Coturnix japonica: one gene and its partner. The protein of the gene in region 1 binds, or shares a complex with, the protein of each later gene. Links are inferred from orthologs where the notes say so. Each region holds a gene or a part of one and is shown in the gene's direction. Other genes may lie near its edges.

Region 1 (5,851 bases):
AATTTTGGGAACGTCCTATCTTTGATGATTCTGCCCCTCTCTAACGTTAATCAAATAGTCAAGATTTGTCAGAGGAAGAAAACCCACAACAAAACAGACCCCGAAGACCCAGGCCAAAGTATTTAAAGCACATGACCATCTTGTAAAATGGTATAAGAATGGTGTCCTTTCAGAAAAGCCTAGCACAGGGGCAGGGCAGATCCTTCCTAGGATGGCTAGGAAGGGAAGCCATCCAGAGGGACCTGGACAGGCTGGAGAAGTGGGCCCATGAAAGCCTAATGAGGTTCTATTATCATTCAGGTTGGAAAACACCTTAATAAAGATCATTGAGTCCAACTGCAACCTAACCATACTGCCCTAACTAACAACACTCTGCTAAATCATGTCCCTGAGCACCACGTCCAAATGGTTTTTAAACACATCCAGGAATGGTGACTCAACCACCTCCCAGGGGAGCCTATTCTAAGGCTTAACAACCTTTTCTGTAAAGAAGTGTTTCCTGATCTCCAACATAAACTTACCCTGGCACAACTCGAAGCCATTTCCCATTGTCCTGTTATCAGTGAGAAGAGACCAACCCCACTATCACTGTAAGCAACTTTCAGGTATTGGAAGAAAGCAATAAGGTCTCCCCTCAGCCTCCTTTTCCCCAGACTAAACAGCCCCAGTTCCTTCAGTCTTTCCTCATATGGCATATTCTCCAGGCCCTTCACAAGCCTTGTTGCCCTTCTTTGGACCTACTCCAGCATCTCAGTGTTCGTTTTGTACTGAGGTGCCCAAAACTGAACACAGTACTTGGGGTGAGGCCTCACCAATGCTGAGTACAGGGGCAGGATGACTTCCCTAGTCCTGCTCACCACACCATTTCTGATACAAGCCAGGATGCCATTGGCTTTCTTGGCCACCTGGGCACGCTGCTGGCTCATATTCAGCCGACTGTCCATTAGTACACCGAAGACTCTTTCCATCAGGCAGCTTTCCAGCCACTCCTCCCCACGCCTGTAGGGTTGCCTGGGGTTCTTGTGACCAATGAGGTGCTGCACTTGGAGCGTGGGGGAAATCCTAGATCTTTATAGGAACTGAGGGAAGGTCTCCTTGAGAGCAGCCCTGTGGAGAAGAACTTTGTGGTTCTGGTGGACAAGAAGCTGGACATGAGCCAGCAGTGTTTGCTTGCAGCCCAGCGACTGACTGTGGCTCTGGGTAGCGAGGTCTAGTGGTTGGTGACCCTGCACATAGTAGAGGGGTTGATCATTGTGGTCCCTTTCAACCCAGGCCATTCTTTGATTCATTGTATGATTTCTTGGGAAGTACCCTGAAAGATGATGCTAAGGGACTGAAAATAAGATATATAACAGAATATAGAGCTGGTAAGTGTGTTTACCATAGCAGCCTAAGCATACTGAATACGCATGCAGGGAGAAGGCAACCTGTCAGAATTACTTTAGGATGACAGTGAGATGTATCTAGATTTCCTCCACCTGTGTGCTAGAGTTTTGGATGGGCAATGTGGGGATACAATCCTTTAACCTAAAGCCCTGATGAGTGATTTAAAATGTCACAACGGATGCAACCATCATTACTCCCTACTTTAATATATTAACACTGAGAGACCAAGAATGTATTCTGACTAAAATAGCCCCTTGAGCCTCTCTTCAGTTCATGATTCATGCTTTGCTCACTTTGGAACATGAAGGAGTTTAAAGGCCAGCTCAGTACATTTCCCATTTATTTATAGTTAACACAAAGGTATCTGCTTATCACAGTCAGAAGAAAAAATATCTTAGTGTAACTTGAATGGCAGATATTTTACGAAGTAGAAAATAACTGGGCTCCCAAGAATTAGCAGTGCTGTGGACACTGCTAATTGGTATAACAACAGGGGAACAGATAACATTCAATCATGTTTACTGCAAAACAAGGGCTTTGTTGTTCTGTTATTTCGGTAGCACAACAGTAGGAGTTTGAGGTATGCTGGATTGGACTGTGCTTAGTTGGGGCTGTGGGGACAGTTTGACAGCTGGCCATATGGATGTTGTAAAACATTTGTCAGGTGGGTAGTTGGAACACCAGCGTTTCTGCTAACAAACACTTCTAAAATCAGAGTCTGCTGGTAACGTTGCTGTGGAAATGATGAAAATAGAAAGGGAAAAAAGTAAGTAAAATGGTATTGTGAGAACTATTGCTGTGTATAGGTTTTGATTTGGTAAGTCAGTAGGAAAGTTTGGGTTATGACACCTACTGAGTTGTGGTGTTTTCCCCCACGGAGATACCTATCCCCTACTTTGTTTCCACTTCCCAAGAGAAGGATTTCTGCGTGAAGGAGCTGGCAGCCCCCTCACAAGGTATTGCATGGTGAGATTTGAGTCAGGTAATAGAGGCTCCCCGCTGCAGGTGCTGAGAGAACTACCATAGAGTGCCTTTGGCGGCTAGAGAGCCCACAGCCGACATGTTGTTTGTGGGTAAAAGCGGGGCGGAAATTAGCGAGCAGGAAGCAGGCGGGGCGACCGCTGCGCGGGAAGCCGGAGCGGGTCCTGGTGTTGGCTTGGGGCTGGTGGGATCTTGTGTGACCCTTCAGCCCCGTCCCTCAGCCCTTTTCGTTTTCTTCGGTCCGCTCTGCAGATGGAGTTCAGCAGCAGAGCGCGGCAGCGGCACCTGAGGCTGGCGGGGGACAAGCGGGAGCCGTACCCCCACAGCCTGCAGTTCTACCAGGAGCCCCCCACCGAGACCATCTCTCTGAACGAGTTCGAGAGCTTCGCTGTCGACCGCCTGAGGCGTGAGTAGTGTGAGCTCTGAGCGATTTCACAGTTCAACTGAAGTGCATACAAATCGCTATTATGTGGTATTGGGTTATAGCCTTGTTTTTCAGGGTCTCTGGATGCCTCTCTTGGATGTCTCTGTGCAGGCACTGAGGTCATGGCTGGGAGCAGTGCCCCCAAAGAGCCACAGAATGCAGGTCTCTGTCCCTGCAGTGCAGCTGGATGCTCTGGGGCTGATCTTTCTCCCTGCTCTGCTCCCTGCCTGGATTTTAGGGCTGGGCGAGCTGTCAGGTTGGACTGACATAGTAGGCGTGGTGTTGATGGGTTGGTGTTTGGACTAGATGATCTCAGTGTTCTCTTCCAACCTGAATGATTCTGTGATAGGTCCTGTGGGCTATGGATGAGTTGGGCCATGCTTTGTCTTTCTAAATTCTTATCCTTTTACTCCTGATACTGCTAACAGGAGTTTGCATGGCCTTTATTTAGTCCTTTTTTCAAGTCATGATAGAGTTAGCTTCCTTTTCAATATGTTATCATAGAATTATAGAATGGCTTGGGTTGGAAGGGACCTTTAAGATCCTCTAGTTCCAACCTCCTGCTATAGGAAGGGACACTTCCCTCTAGACCAGGTTGCTCAAAGCCCCTAGCACTGAATGCTTCCAGGGAGGGGGCATCCACAGCCTCTCTGGGCAACCCGTTCCTGTGTCTCACCATCTTCACAGTAAAGAATTTCCTCCTAATATCTAGTCTGAATCTACCCTCTTCCAGTTTAAAGTCATTTCCCTTCATCCCTTCACTACCTGCATATTGTGACTATATGGACTACAACTAACTGTGTTCTAACTATATGAACTATGTTTTTTTTTTTTCTCCTCAGTGCTCAAGGTAGTTGAAAACCTTGGTGTGAGCTATGTAAAAAGTGGTGATGCGTACAAAAGTAAGCTGGAGGCTGAGCTCCGGAAACTTAAGTTTCCCTACAGAGTAAGTATAAATAGAAACAAGCAGCTATTTCTTTTGCACTCTATTTTCTGTACACTGTTCAGAAATTCTGCACAAATTACTATTCCTAAAGCTTGTATTCTGGCAGCTTGTCTTTAACTTAAACTTTGTCTTTAAAAATACATGTTTATTTTGGGCAGTCTGCCTCTTTAATAGTCCTGTGTTTGAGGTTATAGATATAAGTATTGATATGATGTGAAACAGCAGTGGTGGATAAACTGTGGATTTCTAATCTAATTTCTAATAACATTTTCTGTAGGCTTTGGCTGAAGATGATTATGATGCAAGAAGAAAGGACCATATTTCTCATTTCATACTGCGCCTTGCTTACTGTCAGTCGTAAGTACTTTTTGGATTACTTTTTGGTCTTGTTACTAAGTTTAAGTGTATGTGTGTATACATATTGTTATAGATTGCATAGGGCTGTATCTGTATGGCTACTAAACAGAAAGGTAGTTCAAGTAGAGGTTTACTTTTCTGGAAAGCTGATTTCAACTGTGATGATAAGAGATATTCAGGATCAGAATTAATATCCACATTATATAGTTTTTTTAGTCTTATAATATAGAAACTGTTGATTGTACATATGGAGTATTGATAAAAGTCACTTTCTTTATTTTCAAGAAAGAAATCAAAAGGCAGCCAGTTTTGTCAGTCATTGATTTATCTGATTACAGAGAATTTAAATGAACTGCTCCATATATTTCAGCTGTTGCTTACTTGACCAAATGACCTGAGTAAGCTGGTTATGTGAATAGGCTTTATGGTGCTATCTAAAGAGAGCCTTATTTCTCAGAAACCAAAAATACTGAATCTGAGGTTTTCTCCACTGCTTGTTATTTTCTTCTAAAGTAATTGATTTTTACATTTTTATTTGTTTATTTATTTTGTCATGTGAAATCTAAGGCACGTAGTTTGTCAAGTGCTTTCGTTCTGTTTCTGCAATAGGCTCTGGGTGAAGTTGTACAGGTTGTCAGTGCCTTATGTCTATTAACAGCTTTGTTGTGCATCATCCTGACTCCTTGCCATTGCAGTCCTGTTTTATAGTTAAAACTAGTGAGTGTGTGTTCTCTCTTGAGAAGTGGCTATTTCTGAAATGAAATATTTGAAATGAAATATTACTCTCTAAAGCCAGATGTTCTCCAAAAGATAAATTTGTGAGTCAAATACCCAGTTCTGCAGGGTTTTATTGTATTAGGTCAGAAAAAATTTGCACAAATTGCTACACTAGGTGATGAAAGCAACTAAGATAGCAATCTTTGAAAAGTCTGCTTAACATAGCTGTGAAGTTGCTTGATTTCAGTTCCTGGTTGCTTGGCAGAGGGGGTGTTGACAGGCCTGTTCTGCTATGCCTAAGTTTCTAGCAGTCCAACAGTGCCACCCAGTGGTGCAAGTCTTCATCATCTTTTTTCTGCATCAGACCTCTGATAATGTGGATTTTGCTTTGTACTGGTTTGTACATGGGCAAAATGGCATGAAGTGATCAGCTGCACCTTGTTTGGGCTGGTAATAGAGTCATAGCCTTTCACTGTCCTTCTGCCTTCTGAAATCCAAGGCTTTAAAACTTACTCTTGTGTAACATTCCTAAGGTAGGATTTGTGCAGTCTTGAGTGAACAGGTTCATCCTTACCCTTCATTCATACCTCTAATGTCACTTAAATCCAGCAAGACCAGGAAACAGAATTATCTTGCACAGCTATAAAGAGAACTTAGTTTTGTATGCTGGCCATGACAATGCATTTCTGCTTCTGAACTTCAGAAGTGTGAGGGCATAAACTTCATGTTACTTGTTTAACACGGAAGAGAATATCTTTGCCTTTTCTCTAATAGTGAAAATCTTTTCAAACACTTTTGTGCTTACTGAAAGTTTACTTTTTATATTCTGTCACACAACATAAACACAAGCTATTAAATGCAGGCCTTTCCTCTACCTTCTGCAATCTTTTGGTTTTGGCTGCCTAGCAAGATAGGATTCTGGCCCATGCTCTGACTTCACACCTTGACTGAAGGGGTCAGTAACTGAGCTGACATTTAATTGTGGAAGGTGATCTGTGCTATCTTTAGGAGCATTTTGAAGTCTTCCTAAAGTACTTGCA
Region 2 (5,827 bases), on another chromosome or scaffold:
CGTATAAATAGAGCTCAGTGCAAGGAGCAGCCACGCAGCACGGGGCAGCAGCGGGGGCAGCGGTGCCCAAATAGCTGCAGGCGACGCTGCAGGGCGGGCAGGATTGCAGCAGAGCTGAAATAAACCTTGAGTTCTTTAATCCTCGCCGCCTCGTGTTGCACGGAGCCATGCAGGGAGCGCTGCTGCAGCTCTGCAACAGCTGCATGTGCTGATGGAGCCCGACCCGAGGCATCGCACAGCACTGCAGGGCTGGCTGCATTGCATGGGAAGGATGCGGTGATGCTGGGTGAGGGCAGAGCAGCAGCGATGGGGCTGAGAGCTGCACAGCGGCACTGGGACCCCATTCACCTGGTTGCCCCCAGCTCCAAGGGATGGCAAAGGGGGCATGTATAGGGTGGGGGCTTGGCAGCACTGTGCCCACTGCTCCCCCATGGGCACAGCCTCAGTGCGCTGCAGAGGGAAGGGGCAGGGCTCAACCACACCATGCAGGGAAGAGGTCAGCTTTATTCAGCAGCAAACATTGCCAGTGCAAAGTGCAGCGCTTTGCTTGCTGCCGTGGGATCTCAGGTGTGGGGCGATGCCAGCTCTGCCCTCACGGCCTCACACTCTCTGGGCAGGTTTGGGGGAGGTCCAGGTGAACAAGGCGTCGGTGATGGCAGAGGGAAAGTAGCTGAGAGGGATGTAGATCAGCTTGGCATCCCAACCAGCTGCATAGCGGCAGCGCGGGTAGCGGCTGGTCAGTGCGTGCTCCATGCAGCCCGTCACCAGCGACAGGTTGGGGTTGCATTTCTTCATCATCTCCCTCATATTTGCCAGGACTGGGGGCAGAGGGAGGGACAGGAGCTGAGATTGTGCCAAAGGGACCGAGAGGCCCCGCTGGGTCCCGGTGCAGCTCAGCACTGAGATGCTGGGTGAGCTTTGGGGATGCACTCACAGTCCTGTAGGTATTTATCCCCATAACTGGCTTTGGTTTCACTGGGCATCCTCTCCCAGGCTCTGAGGAGGCTCTTCTCTAGTTCTGCAGAACCGGTGATGGCTGTTTTGAAGTAACCCGGCTCGATGATGCTCACCTTCACCCCGAAGTGCCTCATCTCAAGCCTGGAAGGCAGCGATGCAATGGGATGGGAGCAGCAAAGGGGGGTGGGCTGAGTGGGGACGGCCTCGCTATGGGGCACAGCAGGGAAACCCAACCACAGAGGGCACCACGAGCAGCCCAGCATGAGGCTGGGATGGTGCACGAGCAAACACTGACCGCAGTGGGACGGGATGGGGTCAGAGCAAACATTGGAGCCGCTCCATGGGACACACAGCGGGGCAAGGTCCGAGTAGCGGGGTCCGACCAGCCCCATAACGCTGCCAGGCAGAGCAGGGGGGAGCAGGACTCACCGCAGACTGTCGGAAAACGCCTCCACGCCGAACTTGGACGGGCAGTAGCCGCCCCCGAAGATGGACAGCCGGCCCACCACGCTGGCCACGTTGACCACGCGGCCCCTCGCCCTCTTGATCAGCGGCAGGAGGCTGAGAGTCACCTCGATCAGCCCCACCAGGTTGACGTTCAGCACCGCCACGAAGTCTTCCTTCCTCAGCCACTCGTTGGGGGCGGAGGGGACGGCGATGCCGGCGTTGTTCACCAGCCCCCACAGCCCTGCAATAGGGCCGGGATGAGCCGAGACCCCCGCTGGGCGCCCACTCCCCACACCCCGACCCCCTCCTACCTCTGTCCCCCACTCGCTCCCGCACCCACGCGGCGGCGGCGGCGATGCTGTCGCTGGACGTGACGTCCAGCAGGACGGTCTGCAGGCGAGACGAGGCGGCCGCCCGCAGCCTCGCGGCCCCGGCCTCGCTCAGGCAGCCCGCCAGCACCCGCAGCCCCCTCGCGTCCAGCTGCCGTGCCAGCAGGCTGCCAAAGCCCGAATCGCAGCCCGTGATCAGCACGAACTTCTCGTCCAGGCCGCCCACCGTCTGCCGCTCCAGGTTCCAACGCCGCAGCAGCCACAGCCCCAGCAGCGCCAGCAGCCACAGCCACATGGTGGGGCGGCAGCAGGAGGAGCACGACGAGGAGGAGGAACGGGACGTGGAGGCGGCCGGGACTCGCGTGGACACGGCACAAAGCGCAGCCCTGAGCTCTGGCTCCGGCCCGTGCCGACCTTGGACCGGCCCAACTCCTCGGGGCCGGTGTGTGTCAGTGCCAACACATCTGAATACGGGGCCGGGCAGCGGCTCAGCCCGTCCTCCCACGTCCCGTGATTTCAATCCCCATCCGTGGCCCCTCGGCTCGTTGGCAAAGCCGCCCCTCGTTGGCACGGGGCTGAGCTGCCCTCGAACCACCACCCAACTTATGGGGGGTCTCAGGGGCTCCGCTCCCGGGACTCGGCCGCTGTTCAAAGCAGGGACGGGGTCGGTGCCGGTGCTGAGCCCCCCCGGGGGTCCCCGTTAACCCGCTCCGGTTCCCCGACGGCCGGCGCTGTCGGAGCGGTTCAGCTCCGTTCCGGGAGGGGTCGCACTACATCTCCCAGCGACCACTCGGTTTCTTTCGGTCCCGCCGTTTCCCTCCGCTTCCCGTCATGGCGCCGTTCGAACCGGCTGCGTTACCGGAGCTTCTCCCGGTGTTCTACCGACGGCTCTTCCCACACGGCGCTTACGGCCGCTGGCTCGGCTACGGCGGCGGTGAGCGAAGGGACCGGGCGGGGTCGGGACGGCGAATCGGTGGGGTCTACATCCCCCCCAACCCCCCCAATCCCCCCAACCCCCCCAACCCGACCCTCTCCGCATCCCCGCAGTGGAGAAGAACTATTTCCAGCTTCGGGAGTTCTCCTTCACGCTGCGGGACGACGTTTACGTGCGGTTCCAGTCGTTCTGCAGCCCGCAGGAGCTGGAGAAGGAGCTGCAAAGGACCAACCCCTATAAGATCGACATCGGGGCCGTATATTCGCATCGCGTTCGTATCCCCCCCCCACTCCCCTTCTTCCACCCCTAAACCCCCCGGTGGCTGCGGGATGTGACCCCTTGTGCTCCCCGCAGCCCAACCAGCACAACACGGTGCACCTCGGGGCGTTCCAACCCGTGGAGAAGGAGCTGGTGTTTGATATCGATATGACCGACTATGATGATGTCCGGACGTGCTGCAGGTCCCTGGGGGGGTTTGGGATGGGGAGGGGGGGGTTGTAGCCCCATAGGGCCCCGTTAGCCATGGGGGGGGTTGGGGATGGGATGGGGGGGGTTGCAGCCCCATAGAGCCCAGTTGGCCGTGGGGGGGGATGCTTGGCACCCATCTGACCGCTGTGCTCTGCCCACAGCTCGGCTGATATCTGCTCCAAGTGTTGGACTCTGATGACCATCGCTGTCCGTGTGATCGACCGTGCACTCGTGGGTGAGGGATGCAGGGATGTGCATTGAGCACGTATCCAGACCCTGCTGTCCATTGTGATGCCTTCAAATGGGTCTGGGGGAGCACTGCTATGGGGCTGGAGTGCCTGGAGTGCTCCCCCAGCCCCACTGTGCCCCATAGAGGACCTGGGCATGAAGCACCGGCTGTGGGTGTACTCAGGAAGGAGAGGTGTCCACTGCTGGGTCTGTGATGACGCCGTACGTAAATGGTCCCCAGCTCTGAGAGCTGCTGCTGTGGAGTATCTGAGCCTGGTCAAGGTGGGTGTATGGAGGGGGGGGGGGTTGTGTTGCCCACCTGGTTGGGCTGAACAATCTGACATTAACAGGGTGGAGCTGAGACGGTGAAGAAGGTGAATCTGTCAGAGCCTGTGCATCCATTCATCAGGTGGGTGGGGATGGGGATGGGGGTGCTCTGCCTGGTGTTGTGCTGATGGTTGTGGGGTGCTGAGCTGATGGTTGTGGGGTGCTGTGCTGATGGTTATGGGGTGTTGAGCTGATGGTTGTGGGGTGCTGTGCTGATGGTTGTGGGGTGCTGAACTGATGGTTGTGGGGTGCTGAGCTGATGGTTGTGGGGTGCTGAGCTGATGGTTNGGTGCTGAGCTGATGGTTGTGGGGTGCTGAGCTGATGGTTATGGGGTGCTGTGCTGATGGTTGTGGGGTGCTGAGCTGATGGTTGTGGGGTGCTGTGCTGATGGTTATGGGGTGTTGTGCTGATGGTTATGGGGTGTTGTGCTGATGGTTATGGGGTGTTGAGCTGATGGTTATGGGGTGCTGAGCTGATGGTTATGGGGTGTTGAGCTGATGGTTATGGGGTTCTGAGCTTCTCCATCTGCTCCTCAGACGCTCAGTGAACGTGGTGGAGAAATACTTCGAGGCGTATGCACTGCAGGGCCAGGACATCCTGGGCAGCCCCGAGCGCTGGGACAAAGTGCTTGCTCTGGTTCCAGACGGTATCCTTCTATCCTTCTCTCCTTCTCTCCTTCTCTCCTTCTCTCCTTCTATCCTTCCATCTGCTGGGCTCAGGGGGGGGTTGTGTTGGCTGTGATGGCCCTTAACAGCCCCGCAGAGCACCGGGAGCTGCTGCACACTGAGTTCCCCAAGAAACGTGACTCGGGGCAGCGCTGGGAGCTGCTCAAGGGCCGCATGGAGAGGACGCGGGTGAGTGGCTATGGGGCAGCTATGGGGCAGCTATGGGGCCGTGCTGCCCCTTGACTACCTGTACCCACAGCGGGCTGCGGGCAGCGGGAAGGGCACGGCGTGTTATGCAGACTGGGAGATCATGCTGCAGTATTGCTTCCCACGGCTCGACATCAACGTCAGCAAAGGCATCGGGCACCTCCTGAAGAGCCCCTTTAGTGTCCACCCCAAAACAGGTGGGTACCCTAAAACAGGGGGGTACCCCAAAGCAGGCGGGTACCCCAAAATGGGGGGGGTGCAGCTGGTTGTGGGGTCAGCACCCTGCTATGGGCACCCCATGCAGCACCTCTCTTCACCTTCCCCTATCTCTGTCCCTTGTAGGTCGCATCTCGGTGCCGCTGGACCTGCAGAGGTTGGATGAGTTCGACCCATTCTCAGTGCCCACCATCAGGTCGGTACATGGGGTCGGTGTGGGGGGAGCCCTGGTTGTGGGTAGCCCCTATTATGAGCAGCCCCCCCCCACCATGTCCTGCATTGTCCTTCCATGCAGCTCGCTGTGCCAGGAGCTGGATGCAGCCGGTGATGATGCAGAGCAGGAGGATGGAGAGGAGACGGAGCCGAAGAGGAGAGTGAGGGGTGAGTGGGGCAGAGGGGTGGGTTAATGTTAATGGCTGGGGGAGGTGGGTTAAGGGCTGGGGGCGGGGTTAAGGGTTGTGGGGGGGTGGATTAATGGCTGGAGAGGTGGTTAAGGGTTGGTGGGTTAATGTTAATGGTTGGGGGGTGGTTAAGGGTTGTGGGGGGGTGAGTTAATGGCTGTGGGGGTGAGTTAGTGGCTGGGGAGGTGGGTTAAGGGCTTGTGGGGGTGGGTTAATGCTGGGGGGGTGGGTTAAGGCCTGGGGGGGGTGGTTAATGTAAAATGGTTGTGGGGGTGGTTAAGGGTTGTGGGGGTTGGGTTGATGGCTGGGGGGTTAAGGGCTGGTGGCTGGGGGTTAAAGGGCTGGAAGGGGTGGTTTAAGGGTTGGGGGGGTGGGTTAGAGAGCTGGGGGGGGTGAGTTAAGGGCTGTGGAGGTGGGTTTAAATAGGCTGGGTGGTGGATTAATGGCTGGGGGGGGTGGGTTAAGGGCTGTGGGGGTGGGTTAATGGTGAGGGGGTGGGTTAAGGGTTTGGGGGTGGGGTTAGGGTTGGGGAGGTGGGCTTAATGAATGGGGGGGGTGGGTTGATAGCTTGGGGGGGGGCGGTTAAGGCTGGGGGGGGGTTAAGGGTTGGGGAGGTGGGTTAATGCTGGGGGGTGGGTTTTAAGGAC

Evidence for each region.
Region 2: the proteins of PRIM2 (region 1) and PRIM1 are in contact, whole or in part, in a crystal structure (PDB 5EXR), measured with the Homo sapiens proteins. The link is inferred for Coturnix japonica from reciprocal best matches to the Homo sapiens genes PRIM2 and PRIM1. Residues at the interface, in NP_000938.2 of Homo sapiens: Glu165, Ala168, Ser169, Pro171, Ser172, Phe188, Ala189, Leu192, Phe195, Arg196, Gly197, Arg198, Val200, Tyr201, Leu202, Glu203, Asp204, Gly205, Phe206; in NP_000937.1 of Homo sapiens: Lys147, Glu148, Asp149, Phe150, Gly151, Phe152, Ala180, Val181, Gly184, Ile185, Glu187, Tyr188, Ser190, Leu191, Lys193, Lys207, Ile208, His209, Pro210, Ile212, Arg213.

What each region holds. Positions count from the first base shown.
Region 1 is NC_029518.1:79,160,911-79,166,761, reverse strand, and holds the start of PRIM2 (DNA primase large subunit), read left to right. Parts: upstream 1-2,619; coding exon 2,620-2,773; intron 2,774-3,633; coding exon 3,634-3,737; intron 3,738-4,014; coding exon 4,015-4,094; intron 4,095-5,851. UniProt on the Homo sapiens protein: Regulatory subunit of the DNA primase complex and component of the DNA polymerase alpha complex (also known as the alpha DNA polymerase-primase complex) which play an essential role in the initiation of DNA synthesis.
Region 2 is NC_029544.1:1,685,216-1,691,042, forward strand, and holds the start of PRIM1 (DNA primase small subunit), read left to right. Parts: upstream 1-2,289; 5' UTR 2,290-2,564; coding exon 2,565-2,667; intron 2,668-2,780; coding exon 2,781-2,938; intron 2,939-3,021; coding exon 3,022-3,128; intron 3,129-3,296; coding exon 3,297-3,370; intron 3,371-3,508; coding exon 3,509-3,645; intron 3,646-3,713; coding exon 3,714-3,772; intron 3,773-4,227; coding exon 4,228-4,337; intron 4,338-4,453; coding exon 4,454-4,545; intron 4,546-4,615; coding exon 4,616-4,760; intron 4,761-4,905; coding exon 4,906-4,975; intron 4,976-5,074; coding exon 5,075-5,160; intron 5,161-5,827. Other genes in the region: retinol dehydrogenase 16-like, read right to left, coding at 601-818, 935-1,098, 1,387-1,645, 1,716-2,028. UniProt on the Homo sapiens protein: Catalytic subunit of the DNA primase complex and component of the DNA polymerase alpha complex (also known as the alpha DNA polymerase-primase complex - primosome/replisome) which play an essential role in the initiation of DNA synthesis.